4 linked regions of the Saccharomyces cerevisiae S288C genome follow. The gene in region 1 interacts genetically with each later gene. Each region holds a gene or a part of one and is shown in the gene's direction. Other genes may lie near its edges.

Region 1 (3,529 bases):
ATGGCCCACATCAAAAACATCATGGCCAATGTCAAAATCACTGTACTTCTCCAAACACTGTACGACAAAACAAAACAAACAAACTCTTGTTAGTAAAAAAGAAAGGGAAACTAGTAATATGGAGACACATCGTAAAAAAAATGTTGCACATACGCTTGGTTGTTCTTTGGAGCCATTATCCAGAACAGCACGGACATGGCACTAACCACTATGAATACACCAACAACAGTATAGCTAAATTGGACGCGCAGAGAGTTAGTAGAAGAAGAAGGAAGAAAAGGGAAGCGGAGAGAAGAGATTATGACACATACAAACTACTCATTACTCTTTGTTCTTTATTATTCGTTGGACCTTTGTTTCTTAAAGTATAGATAAAAGGTCAAAAAATGTAGTAGTCTTTTTTCACAGAGCGAGAATAAAAAGTTACGGCAAAATTTTGTGGGCAGTTGGTATCTTAACGGCCAAGAAAAGAGAGAGAGTGAAGAGCAACGATGTCTGCAAACGGCAAGATCTCTGTTCCCGAGGCGGTGGTCAATTGGCTGTTCAAAGTCATTCAACCCATTTATAACGACGGAAGAACAACTTTCCACGATTCTTTAGCGCTGCTGGACAATTTTCACAGTTTAAGGCCAAGAACAAGGGTATTTACGCACTCTGACGGCACTCCACAACTACTGTTGTCCATATATGGTACCATTAGTACTGGTGAGGATGGTTCATCTCCTCACAGTATTCCTGTGATCATGTGGGTACCCAGTATGTACCCGGTAAAACCTCCCTTTATAAGTATAAACTTGGAAAATTTCGACATGAACACCATCAGTAGTTCCTTGCCCATTCAAGAATACATCGACTCCAATGGGTGGATTGCGCTGCCCATACTCCACTGCTGGGATCCTGCCGCGATGAACCTTATAATGGTCGTACAAGAATTAATGAGTCTCTTACACGAGCCGCCACAAGATCAGGCGCCCAGTCTACCCCCTAAGCCCAATACGCAGCTCCAGCAGGAGCAGAATACTCCCCCACTGCCCCCAAAGCCCAAGTCTCCACACCTAAAACCGCCATTGCCTCCACCTCCACCACCTCAACCGGCATCTAACGCACTCGACCTTATGGACATGGACAACACGGATATCTCCCCAACCAACCATCATGAAATGCTACAAAATCTACAAACCGTAGTCAATGAGTTATACAGAGAGGATGTGGACTATGTAGCGGACAAGATACTGACGAGACAGACCGTCATGCAAGAATCAATTGCCAGATTCCATGAAATAATCGCCATCGACAAGAACCATTTACGAGCCGTTGAGCAGGCTATTGAGCAGACCATGCACTCGCTAAACGCACAGATAGACGTCCTGACCGCAAATAGGGCCAAAGTCCAACAGTTTAGCTCAACTTCGCATGTGGATGACGAGGACGTGAACTCCATAGCAGTGGCCAAAACAGATGGACTCAATCAACTATACAACCTCGTTGCCCAGGACTACGCTCTCACGGACACCATTGAGTGCTTATCTAGGATGCTGCACCGTGGCACCATTCCCCTCGATACTTTTGTCAAGCAAGGTCGTGAATTAGCACGCCAGCAATTCCTTGTGCGATGGCACATCCAACGAATCACCTCACCGTTATCGTGACTCACTTTCTTTCGCATCGCCGAAGTGCCATAAAAAATATTTTTTTAACCTTTACCTAACAAGAACGGGGAATGGTATATATGGAAGTACATAGTTCGTATATACAGAATCTTTAGAACATCTGAGCTCACTAACCCAGTCTTTCTAATGCTGAGATCGTTATTGCAAAGCGGCCACCGCAGGGTGGTTGCTTCTTCATGTGCTACCATGGTGCGTTGCAGTTCCTCGTCGACCTCCGCGTTGGCGTACAAGCAGATGCACAGACACGCAACAAGACCTCCCTTGCCCACACTAGACACTCCTTCCTGGAATGCCAACAGTGCCGTTTCATCCATCATTTACGAAACACCAGCGCCTTCTCGTCAACCAAGAAAACAGCATGTCTTGAACTGTTTGGTGCAAAACGAACCCGGTGTCTTGTCCAGAGTCTCGGGTACGTTAGCTGCCAGAGGCTTTAACATCGATTCGTTGGTCGTGTGCAACACCGAGGTCAAAGACCTAAGTAGAATGACCATTGTTTTGCAAGGGCAAGATGGCGTAGTCGAACAAGCACGCAGACAAATCGAAGACTTGGTCCCCGTCTACGCCGTCCTAGACTATACCAATTCTGAGATCATCAAAAGAGAGCTAGTGATGGCCAGAATCTCTCTATTGGGTACTGAATACTTCGAAGACCTACTATTGCACCACCACACTTCCACCAATGCTGGCGCCGCTGACTCCCAAGAATTGGTCGCCGAAATCAGAGAAAAGCAATTCCACCCTGCCAACTTGCCCGCCAGTGAGGTATTAAGGTTGAAGCACGAGCATTTGAACGATATCACCAACTTGACCAACAACTTTGGAGGTCGTGTCGTCGACATCAGCGAAACAAGCTGTATTGTGGAGTTGTCTGCAAAACCCACACGTATCTCTGCCTTCTTGAAGTTGGTCGAGCCATTCGGTGTCCTAGAGTGTGCAAGAAGCGGTATGATGGCATTGCCAAGAACTCCTTTGAAGACAAGCACCGAGGAAGCTGCCGACGAAGACGAAAAGATCAGCGAAATCGTCGACATTTCCCAACTACCACCTGGTTAGGTTAGTCTCTCGGCCTTGCGATCGCCCTCGGGACTCTCCTCTATACATCTATATAACGTATCTATAACCATGAGCCTATTTACTCATAAGTTGCTATGATTGTACGTTTGTACGAGGTGACGCGTTACTAAACTATTTTTTTCTTTTGGTTTTCTGCTTTCCTCTTCGATTTTGCCAGATACGAAAAAGGTTAAAGACACAATACCTTGGTGGCTTCTCTAAGTGGGGGGAGTTTTTCACAGCAAAACACACGGTCACCTTTCTTATTATGGACGGATATTGGGATGTTGTAGTGTCGTCCTTGCAAGACATATACAATGCCAACGAGGTCATTCCCTTTGATGATGAGCTGCAAACAAAAAAACTAAATTTCCTTAATATGTCAAAGGATCAGCTGCAATTGCATCTCAACACTTTCCAAGAACACATGGAAAACGTCAACAGAGTGCACCGAATCCTTGACAATGTACGTTCCAATTTGTCGTTGATGTTGAATCAGTCACGAGAGGAAAAGAGTGAGGAAAATACTGAAGATGCAGAAGAAGGAGAAGGGACACGCATGGCATTGTCGCAGGGCAAGAAAGCTGTGGGGAAAGTTGGCAGATCGTACTGGACCAGCGAATACAACCCAAATGCACCTATTTTGGTGGGCTCAGAGGTTGCCTATAAGCCCAGAAGGGGCAGTGCCGACGGCGAATGGATACAGTGTGAAGTACTCAAAGTCGTAGCAGATGGTACACGATTTGAAGTGAGAGATCCTGAACCTGATGAATTGGGCAACTCAGGCAAGGTGTATAAATGTA
Region 2 (4,402 bases), on another chromosome or scaffold:
CTGGTTCCTCTTTCGCCTACCAGTTTTGTCACAAAGTATCTGCCTGCCGCGCCCGTAGGGTCTAAGGGCACTTTTGGTGGAACGCTGGTATCACAATCGCTGCTGGCGTCATTGCATACTGTGCCATTGAACTTCTTCCCCACATCGCTACATTCGTATTTCATCAAGGGTGGTGATCCGCGGACCAAGATCACGTACCATGTGCAGAATCTGAGAAACGGTAGAAATTTCATCCATAAGCAGGTTAGTGCTTATCAGCACGACAAGTTGATATTTACGTCGATGATCTTATTTGCCGTGCAACGGTCCAAGGAGCACGACTCCTTGCAGCACTGGGAGACGATTCCAGGCCTGCAAGGTAAGCAGCCAGACCCTCATCGTTATGAAGAGGCCACTTCGCTTTTCCAGAAAGAAGTTCTGGACCCACAGAAATTGAGCAGGTATGCCTCATTGTCCGACAGGTTCCAAGACGCAACCTCGATGAGCAAGTATGTGGATGCGTTTCAATACGGAGTCATGGAGTACCAATTCCCCAAGGACATGTTCTACTCGGCAAGACACACCGACGAGCTGGATTATTTCGTCAAAGTGAGACCTCCCATCACTACCGTGGAGCACGCGGGCGACGAGTCTTCTTTACACAAGCATCATCCGTACAGGATCCCGAAGAGCATTACTCCTGAGAACGACGCTCGCTACAACTACGTGGCCTTTGCGTATCTGTCCGATTCCTACCTCCTACTCACGATCCCGTACTTCCACAACCTGCCTTTGTACTGCCACAGTTTCAGTGTCTCGCTCGACCACACGATTTACTTTCACCAGTTGCCTCATGTGAACAATTGGATCTATCTTAAGATTTCGAATCCCAGGTCCCACTGGGACAAGCACCTCGTACAGGGCAAGTATTTCGACACACAGTCGGGACGCATCATGGCAAGCGTCTCTCAGGAGGGCTACGTTGTCTACGGGTCAGAACGAGACATTCGAGCCAAGTTCTGAGGACAATTCCCTCCCACGTATAAACACATACATATATATTCTTATATTATATAATAATATCCTATTTATTATTACATCACCTTTCACGAGCGGGTATCATACCTTTTTCCCTTCGATCTAAGTAGAAAAAGGACCTGAATGATCATTGTGGTACTTATTCCCACGCATAACCGACTACGGCACCACAACGACGCACCAATGCCATCTGACGTAGCATCGAGGACCGGGCTGCCAACCCCGTGGACCGTCAGGTATAGTAAGTCCAAGAAAAGAGAGTATTTTTTCAATCCAGAGACGAAGCACTCGCAATGGGAGGAGCCTGAGGGCACCAACAAGGACCAGCTACACAAGCACTTAAGAGACCATCCAGTGCGTGTAAGATGCCTGCACATTCTCATCAAGCACAAGGATTCAAGAAGACCCGCATCGCATAGATCCGAGAACATTACGATATCCAAGCAAGACGCTACGGACGAACTGAAAACCTTAATCACGAGGTTGGATGACGACTCTAAGACGAACTCCTTCGAGGCCCTGGCTAAAGAGAGATCAGATTGCTCTTCATACAAGCGAGGCGGCGACCTCGGCTGGTTCGGGAGAGGCGAGATGCAGCCTAGCTTTGAAGACGCTGCCTTCCAGCTCAAGGTCGGCGAGGTAAGCGATATCGTTGAATCAGGAAGCGGTGTTCATGTGATCAAGCGGGTAGGTTAGGTTGGCATTTGCTTCTCCACCTCACCTTTTTATGTTCTTATTCCCTCTTGTATCCATTCCGTCCTCGCTGAACCCATGAAAAGAAAAAAAATTAACTAGTCACATAGTTAAATGGCGCTGTTCTTCGCTGCGAGCGGAACCGGGCCTGAAAAAAAATTTTCTCTTTTCCTCTCCAGATGACTCAGTAATATAGTAGTATATTATATAATGTAACAAAAGAAGAGACTGAAGTTTTATTATGCATTGTAGCGCCTGTAATCTTTAGTAACGGATTCTTGTATTTTTTTGTAAACAGCCAAGAAAAAAGTAGAGATGGGCTTGTTAACGAAAGTTGCTACATCTAGACAATTCTCTACAACGAGATGCGTTGCAAAGAAGCTCAACAAGTACTCGTATATCATCACTGAACCTAAGGGCCAAGGTGCGTCCCAGGCCATGCTTTATGCCACCGGTTTCAAGAAGGAAGATTTCAAGAAGCCTCAAGTCGGGGTTGGTTCCTGTTGGTGGTCCGGTAACCCATGTAACATGCATCTATTGGACTTGAATAACAGATGTTCTCAATCCATTGAAAAAGCGGGTTTGAAAGCTATGCAGTTCAACACCATCGGTGTTTCAGACGGTATCTCTATGGGTACTAAAGGTATGAGATACTCGTTACAAAGTAGAGAAATCATTGCAGACTCCTTTGAAACCATCATGATGGCACAACACTACGATGCTAACATCGCCATCCCATCATGTGACAAAAACATGCCCGGTGTCATGATGGCCATGGGTAGACATAACAGACCTTCCATCATGGTATATGGTGGTACTATCTTGCCCGGTCATCCAACATGTGGTTCTTCGAAGATCTCTAAAAACATCGATATCGTCTCTGCGTTCCAATCCTACGGTGAATATATTTCCAAGCAATTCACTGAAGAAGAAAGAGAAGATGTTGTGGAACATGCATGCCCAGGTCCTGGTTCTTGTGGTGGTATGTATACTGCCAACACAATGGCTTCTGCCGCTGAAGTGCTAGGTTTGACCATTCCAAACTCCTCTTCCTTCCCAGCCGTTTCCAAGGAGAAGTTAGCTGAGTGTGACAACATTGGTGAATACATCAAGAAGACAATGGAATTGGGTATTTTACCTCGTGATATCCTCACAAAAGAGGCTTTTGAAAACGCCATTACTTATGTCGTTGCAACCGGTGGGTCCACTAATGCTGTTTTGCATTTGGTGGCTGTTGCTCACTCTGCGGGTGTCAAGTTGTCACCAGATGATTTCCAAAGAATCAGTGATACTACACCATTGATCGGTGACTTCAAACCTTCTGGTAAATACGTCATGGCCGATTTGATTAACGTTGGTGGTACCCAATCTGTGATTAAGTATCTATATGAAAACAACATGTTGCACGGTAACACAATGACTGTTACCGGTGACACTTTGGCAGAACGTGCAAAGAAAGCACCAAGCCTACCTGAAGGACAAGAGATTATTAAGCCACTCTCCCACCCAATCAAGGCCAACGGTCACTTGCAAATTCTGTACGGTTCATTGGCACCAGGTGGAGCTGTGGGTAAAATTACCGGTAAGGAAGGTACTTACTTCAAGGGTAGAGCACGTGTGTTCGAAGAGGAAGGTGCCTTTATTGAAGCCTTGGAAAGAGGTGAAATCAAGAAGGGTGAAAAAACCGTTGTTGTTATCAGATATGAAGGTCCAAGAGGTGCACCAGGTATGCCTGAAATGCTAAAGCCTTCCTCTGCTCTGATGGGTTACGGTTTGGGTAAAGATGTTGCATTGTTGACTGATGGTAGATTCTCTGGTGGTTCTCACGGGTTCTTAATCGGCCACATTGTTCCCGAAGCCGCTGAAGGTGGTCCTATCGGGTTGGTCAGAGACGGCGATGAGATTATCATTGATGCTGATAATAACAAGATTGACCTATTAGTCTCTGATAAGGAAATGGCTCAACGTAAACAAAGTTGGGTTGCACCTCCACCTCGTTACACAAGAGGTACTCTATCCAAGTATGCTAAGTTGGTTTCCAACGCTTCCAACGGTTGTGTTTTAGATGCTTGATGCATTATAGGCCCCAATCGATGAATATATATATAGAGATTCTCCTTTTCCATCATCTTTTTTGTTCGCAATCTTTTCATATATATATATATATAAATATTTATTATAGTCCATTGAATGGATAAACATTTATTTAAAAAAAAACAACGATCAGTATTTTTTTATTTGAAAAGTCGCCTTAATTATAATCTACGAAATTAACTCTGCTTTGCTGCCACTAAAGCCTTCTGTTTTAGTTTTCTACTAGCATACTTGCCAACAAATGGTAACAGTGCCGTATTCAAGGCAATGAGTGCGACTAAAATACCATAATTCCGACCCATCTTGCGTCTTGTCACGTCAAAAAAAATAACCCTGTAGATATCGATGACGTTGTGAACGGGCATCATGTACCCATATCTATAAACATTATTGTTTAGCGCTAATGGGAAGAAAGAAGGTGCAATATTGAGAATGACAAATGATAGGATCCAGAACCCGAGATACTGGGGTCCTAACGTAATAACAAGCATAACCGCATTTTCGTTAGCTCCTCCCGCAGCAAGCATGAAGAGCCACGTAGACATCCAATATACGACGAAGCCACCTCTACCAAAGGACTTGGTAAAATCGACTTGAA
Region 3 (3,520 bases), on another chromosome or scaffold:
AAAGGGTTGGTGAAGTTCATATGCTGAGGTGGTGATGCCGAAGCTGATGGGGGGGAAGGCAAATGAGAAGGAGAATTCAAAAGGGACGACGAGAACGAGTAGTGACCTTGCATTGGGGGTCTTCTCAAGGGGTTCGCAGTTGATGATGTTGATGTCGCATTACTAACGTTGTTATTGTTGTCATCGGACAACATGTCAGCGTAGGAATAAAACCTTAGTAGTCTTGAACCATGGTCGTTGGGAGATCTTGGATGCGCAGGCGACGTTTCGTTATCAAAAGATTGTGACGAAAGACTTCTTGTCCTACCTAGGGCTCTATCCAGGCCGATGGTAGATGGCCTTCTCGAATAAACCATATCAACGTCATCAAGGCCAGTCGTGTCGTCAGTTACAATAGAACAGCCAGCGTCTAATGCAGGAGGGACGAAATTCTCTAAGGTACGACGGTGATCCAGTGGAGTCTGCACAACAAAATCCGGATTGTATGTCTGGTACGATGCTATTGACTCATTAGTCCTAGAAGGTTGCAAATGTAGATTCACAGCAGACGATCTCTGGCTTAAGTTATGGAAGTTCCTATTACTAGAATTATTATGATTGAACAAACTGGTCCTGCTGCTCTGCCTAGAGAGAGAGTTTGCAGCGTTGTTTGACACCGTTTTATAAAGGTATGATGGGTCCTCTACATTTCTTTCAAAAATCATAGAACTCTCGCTCATGGAGGGGGAAGGTGGCATATAATTATTGTCGTTCTCCCTCTGTGCCGCCACGTGGGAGTCGTGGTCTTGGTTGTGGTTGCTGGTATCCATCTTTGCCGTTTACGTTCGCTTTGCTTGAAGGTAGTCTATCACAAAAGCTTTCAGGATCAACCTTTTGCGCCTCAAGAAATTGCATATCACCAAAGGGTGAGTTTAGTCTGATACTGTTTGTTAATCACCTCACGACTGTTGCAACATTAATATGGCGCACACACCGTGTTACGTGATGAAAATAAAGATAATAAAGCGATAGCATAAATAAAATACCATTTAATACGCTTTGTAAAACAAGCACTAACAAGGCGTTGCTTAATAACAAAATAGTCAGCATTCAACAACGTGAGAAGGATAGCTACGACATCTACATCTGCAGTGTTGTTAAATTCGCTGCCAACAACCATTTATATGTCACCATACACGGTCATGCTCTCTTGCACCATTTTTCTCACCTATATAAAGTGAAAAAGTTTTCGATGTCTCTTCTTCCTTCCTAGTAAACTACACTCCATGTGTTTCTGAAAGGGACCTTCAGGAGGTTACGATCAAGTATCTTGTGACATGCAAGAACTTGATGCTTCGATGGGGGAAGTCTTATTTTCAATGTGTTGAAAAGAGTTAATTATGGAACGGTTGGTCATAGCTTTGTACAGCTCAATGTCGTCATGTTTGTAAGGATACAGGCGCGACTTGATCTGCGACTTACTGCTATCAAACGATAAATTATGTTTTTCTTCGTTTCCTTTTTTTTTCTTTTCAGTTTCCTTCCGTTTATTTTTTTGTTGGATTTATCATGATGAGCATTTATTTTACTGCGTTATCGTATTGACGGGGGCTGTTTAAGTACAGTCTGTTTTATAATCTATATTCATTTATATTTTATATTTCTTACCGAGGAAATTGACTCTTAACAGATTTGCTGAAAGGTTCATCTTACAAAAAAATTGGAAAACTTAAACTGAAAAAAAAAAAGTGAAGGAGTACGTGAAGAGCAGTAGCTTTCATAGGAATATGTACAATATCTTGTCTTTGTACTTTGCAAAACCAGCACGCAGCAGGAAGCTCTTGATAATATGGTCGATCACCAGTGGACGCCACTGCAGAAGGAGGTTATCTCAGGTCTGTCCGCGGGATCCGTCACCACATTGGTAGTGCATCCATTAGATTTACTGAAGGTTCGTTTGCAATTATCCGCTACAAGCGCACAAAAGGCCCATTACGGCCCATTTATGGTAATCAAAGAGATTATACGTTCGTCGGCGAATAGTGGACGTAGTGTTACGAACGAACTGTATCGCGGATTAAGCATAAATTTGTTTGGAAATGCCATTGCATGGGGAGTTTATTTCGGTTTATATGGTGTCACGAAAGAATTGATATACAAGTCAGTGGCAAAGCCAGGGGAAACACAGCTTAAAGGTGTTGGGAACGACCACAAAATGAATTCGCTTATTTATTTGTCTGCCGGTGCTTCCAGTGGGTTGATGACAGCTATCCTAACAAACCCTATCTGGGTTATAAAGACCAGGATAATGTCTACAAGTAAAGGCGCCCAAGGAGCGTACACTTCTATGTACAACGGTGTCCAACAACTGTTACGAACTGATGGCTTCCAGGGCCTATGGAAGGGCCTTGTACCCGCACTGTTTGGTGTTTCGCAAGGTGCCTTATATTTTGCAGTTTACGATACCTTAAAGCAAAGAAAATTGCGACGGAAGAGGGAAAATGGGCTTGACATCCATTTAACAAATCTTGAAACCATTGAAATCACATCGTTGGGAAAAATGGTCTCCGTCACTTTGGTTTACCCTTTTCAATTATTGAAATCAAACTTACAAAGTTTCAGGGCCAATGAGCAAAAATTTAGGCTCTTTCCTTTGATAAAATTAATCATTGCTAATGATGGTTTTGTTGGACTTTATAAGGGCCTATCTGCAAACTTAGTACGGGCCATTCCATCCACTTGCATTACCTTTTGTGTATACGAGAACCTTAAGCATAGGCTTTAGTAAATAAAGGCTATATGATAGATTTAATTTCTTGTAAATATCAAACGATAAAAATATAAAAAGTACGAAAGAAAAAGGGGAGGTAATCTAAACTGTAACGGGGAGGAATGGTTTCTTTGGTTTTTATTATTTCTAAAAAATATTTGTGATTATATTACAAAATGTAAAGTATTAAAGAAAAACTATTTTTAATTTCTTAGTAACCCAAAGCGGCTAATTGTTTAGCAACATCAGATTCAGCAGCAGTAGCATTAGCAGAGGCAACTTTCTTGGTGAAAGCTCTCTTCTTGGCATAGTATTCAGCGGATGAAACCTTTCTCTTTGCTTCCAATTTGGCAACAACATCTTCGTATTTCCAACCAACGGAAGTAGACAACTTACCCAAGGTGGTGTACTTTCTACCTGGCTTCAATCTCAAAACTCTCAATGCTTGTGGGACAACAACTCTCTTCTTCTTATCGTATGGAGGTGGGATACCTTCAAAGACCTTTAAACGTTCCAAAGCGGCCTTACCACGAGCAGTCTTGTGAGAAACCATACCACGAAGAGCTTTGTAGAAGATTCTAGATGGGGCTCTGAAATGGAATGGACCACGGGTCTTATTGAAAGCGGTAGCCTTTCTCAAGAAATCATGGTACTTTAATTTGTTTCTGAAAAATTCACCAGAAATGTTTAATTCTTCAGCTCTAACAACAACGATTTTTTGACCGTTTAATAATTGCTTAGCAACAACGGAAGCTAAACGACCTACTAAAT
Region 4 (3,320 bases), on another chromosome or scaffold:
ACTGCAAGAAATCTGGCCGAATATAACGGTGAATAAGGTGCATAACCGAAGATATTTTAGCCTTTTCTTGATATGTCTCTATGCTACACACGACTACATAGCAAGAAATTTTAGATAGATTCAAAAACACATAGCAAGCCCATTATCATATATACTAAGGAATAGCCTTTATGAAAGGCTTTGAACTATACAGCTTGAGTATATGATACCTCTGCTTCCCAACCGCAAGCTTTTTTTCTTCGTGATGCTGAAAAAAAAAAATGGACATAGAAAAAACCTTCATAAATGAAACAGACCATTCATTACTCGTGCGGAACCAGTAAACACAACACGCCAACTTTCGAACTTTTGCCCAACATAAGATGTCCTCTCAAGCATTCACTTCAGTACATCCGAATGCGGCAACATCTGATGTGAATGTTACCATTGACACTTTCGTTGCTAAGTTAAAAAGAAGACAAGTGCAAGGTTCATACGCCATCGCCTTGGAAACTTTACAACTGTTAATGCGATTTATCTCTGCAGCTCGTTGGAACCATGTTAATGACCTTATTGAACAAATCAGAGATTTAGGTAATAGTCTAGAAAAAGCTCATCCTACTGCTTTCAGTTGCGGTAACGTAATTAGAAGAATACTGGCTGTTTTGAGGGATGAAGTAGAAGAAGACACTATGAGCACAACTGTCACATCCACATCCGTTGCTGAACCTTTGATTTCCTCTATGTTTAATTTATTACAGAAACCGGAGCAACCTCATCAGAATAGAAAAAATAGTTCAGGGAGCTCTAGTATGAAAACCAAGACTGATTACCGTCAAGTAGCCATTCAGGGTATCAAGGATCTTATAGATGAGATAAAAAACATTGATGAAGGTATTCAGCAAATTGCTATTGATTTGATTCACGATCATGAGATTTTATTAACTCCCACACCTGATTCAAAAACCGTATTAAAATTTCTGATTACTGCTCGCGAACGTAGTAATAGAACATTTACGGTTTTAGTTACAGAGGGGTTCCCTAATAACACCAAGAATGCACATGAGTTTGCCAAAAAATTAGCACAGCACAACATAGAAACCCTAGTAGTCCCAGACTCAGCTGTTTTTGCTTTAATGTCCCGTGTGGGTAAGGTTATTATCGGCACTAAAGCCGTTTTTGTCAATGGGGGGACTATCTCGTCAAATTCAGGTGTATCATCCGTTTGTGAATGCGCCCGAGAATTTAGAACCCCTGTATTTGCTGTTGCAGGTTTGTATAAGCTTTCTCCTCTATATCCGTTCGACGTAGAGAAGTTTGTCGAATTTGGTGGGTCCCAACGTATATTACCTAGAATGGATCCAAGAAAAAGATTAGATACAGTTAATCAAATTACCGATTATGTTCCGCCTGAAAATATTGATATCTACATTACAAACGTCGGTGGGTTCAATCCAAGTTTTATATATCGTATTGCGTGGGATAATTACAAGCAAATTGATGTGCATTTGGATAAAAATAAGGCGTGATGATGTGTCTTTTGTACATTACTCATGAAAATAAATAAAAATCTTGTAGATCAAAACAATTTTTTTATTATTAATTATTAGTATATAATCAGAATATTTACGTATCCTTGAATATGTTAAAAGACTAATACATAAAGAGCATCTTAGCATTAACTTTTTACTTCTCTACAAAGTCTGGCAATTTGACTCATTTTTTTTTTTTAGTTGAGTGTCTCCTCGTAATGCCATCTTGTCGCTTTTGCATAATAGAAAAACAGGAAAACATTGAAAAAATAAAAAAATAAGGGAAATATGTATCGTATACAAAAATACAGCTAAAGCTTGAACTGAAGTAGAAAATGATACCAAAGCTTATAGTTTTTGGAGGCAATGGATTTTTAGGTAAAAGAATTTGTCAAGAAGCAGTGACTTCGGGCTACCAAGTCGTTTCTGTGTCAAGGTCCGGTAAAGCTCCTCATAGCAATGAATTAAATGATAAGCAATGGATGCAGGAGGTCCAATGGACCGCTGCTGACATTTTTAAGCCTGATTCTTACCATGAATTATTGAATAATGCTACTAACGTAGTTCATTCTTTGGGAATCCTCCTAGAAAATGAAAATTATAAGCAAACTCTATCCAAATCCCCTACATATGATTCAAAATCACGCCTTCTATCTTTTGGTGCAGGTCCAAATCCTTTAAAAAAAAGCAGTCCTTATTTTACTTATGAAATGATGAATAAGCAAAGTGCTATTATTTTGGCAGATACATTTAAACAAAAAATCCTAAAGAAAAGCAAAAAGGAGCAAGAAAAAGCAAATCAAAGATCTTTTACGTATATTTCCGCCGATAAAGGTTTCCCATTGATTCCTAGTGGCTATATTAATTCGAAAAGAGAGGCGGAGATTGAACTAGAAAAAATGCAGAGATATTTCAGGCCTATTATTGTGAGACCCGGTTTTATGTTCGATGAGCACAGAAATGCAATTGGACCACGGTCTTTTATTCATACTGCACTTGAACTACTTTACTGCGGTAACAAATTTCTATTGAGAAATAAGCTGCAGCTTTTGAACGACTTGATTAGGCCAACAGTATCCACTCAGCAGGTAAGCAAATCCGTCCTGAAAAATATCGAAAACCCAGATTTTAAAGGGGTAGTTACACTTGAGGAAATACTTAAAGCATAATGATTATGCCATTATTATATTTATTAATCTATTTTTCTCTTTTATTTACAAATGAAAAGTACTTAACTATATACAGCTTGGTATAATTTTAAAATGGTAATAACAATAATATGCAATGCTAACGGCGCAAAAAAGCCTGATATGCCTCTTGGTTGATTTGAATATTACCTACAGTTTTCATATGCTTTTTACCCTCTTTCTGTTTCGCCAAAAGTTTTTTCCTTCGTGAGACATCAGAAGCATGCAGCTTTTGGAGAACATCTTTTCTTCTTGCCTTAATTGTTTCTCTAGCTATTATCTTGTTATTAGCTCGGGCCTGTATAACGACCTCATATAATTGTGATTTAACATACTCTTTAAACTTCTTCACCCATTCTCTACCCACTCTCTCTACTTCCGATTTATGAAGTACTCTTGACAAGGCATCAATCGCATTTCCATTAACCAAGAGTTGCAGTTTTACAACATCAGAAATTCTATAGCCAGCATCCTCATAATCTAAAGAGGCAAATCCTCTGGACACCGATTTTAATTTACCAAAAAAGTCATCAACTAGATGCGATAGCGGAAGGTAATATTTTAACATCACTTGTCCATTGGTGTTTAGGTATGTTATATCAATTTGTTCTCCTCTATTACT

What was found.
Region 2: of ILV6 (region 1) and ILV3, changing one suppresses a phenotype caused by changing the other (phenotypic suppression), as found in Saccharomyces cerevisiae (one study listed by BioGRID).
Region 3: mutations in ILV6 (region 1) and FLX1 together harm fitness more than expected from each alone (negative genetic interaction), as found in Saccharomyces cerevisiae (3 studies listed by BioGRID).
Region 4: mutations in ILV6 (region 1) and COQ11 together harm fitness more than expected from each alone (negative genetic interaction), as found in Saccharomyces cerevisiae (2 studies listed by BioGRID).

What each region holds. Positions count from the first base shown.
Region 1 is NC_001135.5:103,816-107,344, reverse strand, and holds ILV6 (acetolactate synthase regulatory subunit), read left to right. Parts: upstream 1-1,796; coding exon 1,797-2,726; downstream 2,727-3,529. Other genes in the region: VMA9 (H(+)-transporting V0 sector ATPase subunit e), read right to left, coding at 1-57, 154-234, 312-322; ubiquitin-binding ESCRT-I subunit protein STP22, read left to right, coding at 492-1,649; SGF29 (Sgf29p), read left to right, coding at 2,995-3,529. UniProt on the Saccharomyces cerevisiae protein: Regulatory subunit of mitochondrial acetolactate synthase, which catalyzes the first of a series of common steps in the biosynthesis of the branched-chain amino acids.
Region 2 is NC_001142.9:463,832-468,233, reverse strand, and holds ILV3 (dihydroxy-acid dehydratase ILV3), read left to right. Parts: upstream 1-2,025; coding exon 2,026-3,783; downstream 3,784-4,402. Other genes in the region: TES1 (palmitoyl-CoA hydrolase), read left to right, coding at 1-1,002; peptidylprolyl isomerase ESS1, read left to right, coding at 1,201-1,713; YJR015W (uncharacterized protein), read right to left, coding at 3,981-4,402. UniProt on the Saccharomyces cerevisiae protein: Dihydroxyacid dehydratase that catalyzes the third step in the common pathway leading to biosynthesis of branched-chain amino acids.
Region 3 is NC_001141.2:95,567-99,086, forward strand, and holds FLX1 (flavin adenine dinucleotide transporter FLX1), read left to right. Parts: upstream 1-1,828; coding exon 1,829-2,764; downstream 2,765-3,520. Other genes in the region: VHS2 (Vhs2p), read right to left, coding at 1-809; YIL134C-A (uncharacterized protein), read right to left, coding at 956-1,159; 60S ribosomal protein uL13 RPL16A, read right to left, coding at 2,961-3,520. UniProt on the Saccharomyces cerevisiae protein: Transport of FAD from the cytosol to the mitochondrial matrix.
Region 4 is NC_001144.5:716,505-719,824, reverse strand, and holds COQ11 (ubiquinone biosynthesis protein COQ11), read left to right. Parts: upstream 1-1,846; coding exon 1,847-2,680; downstream 2,681-3,320. Other genes in the region: Sec63 complex subunit SEC72, read left to right, coding at 1-36; GCD7 (translation initiation factor eIF2B subunit beta), read left to right, coding at 363-1,508; GTPase GUF1, read right to left, coding at 2,799-3,320. UniProt on the Saccharomyces cerevisiae protein: Component of MIOREX complexes, large expressome-like assemblies of ribosomes with factors involved in all the steps of post-transcriptional gene expression. Component of a multi-subunit COQ enzyme complex required for coenzyme Q biosynthesis.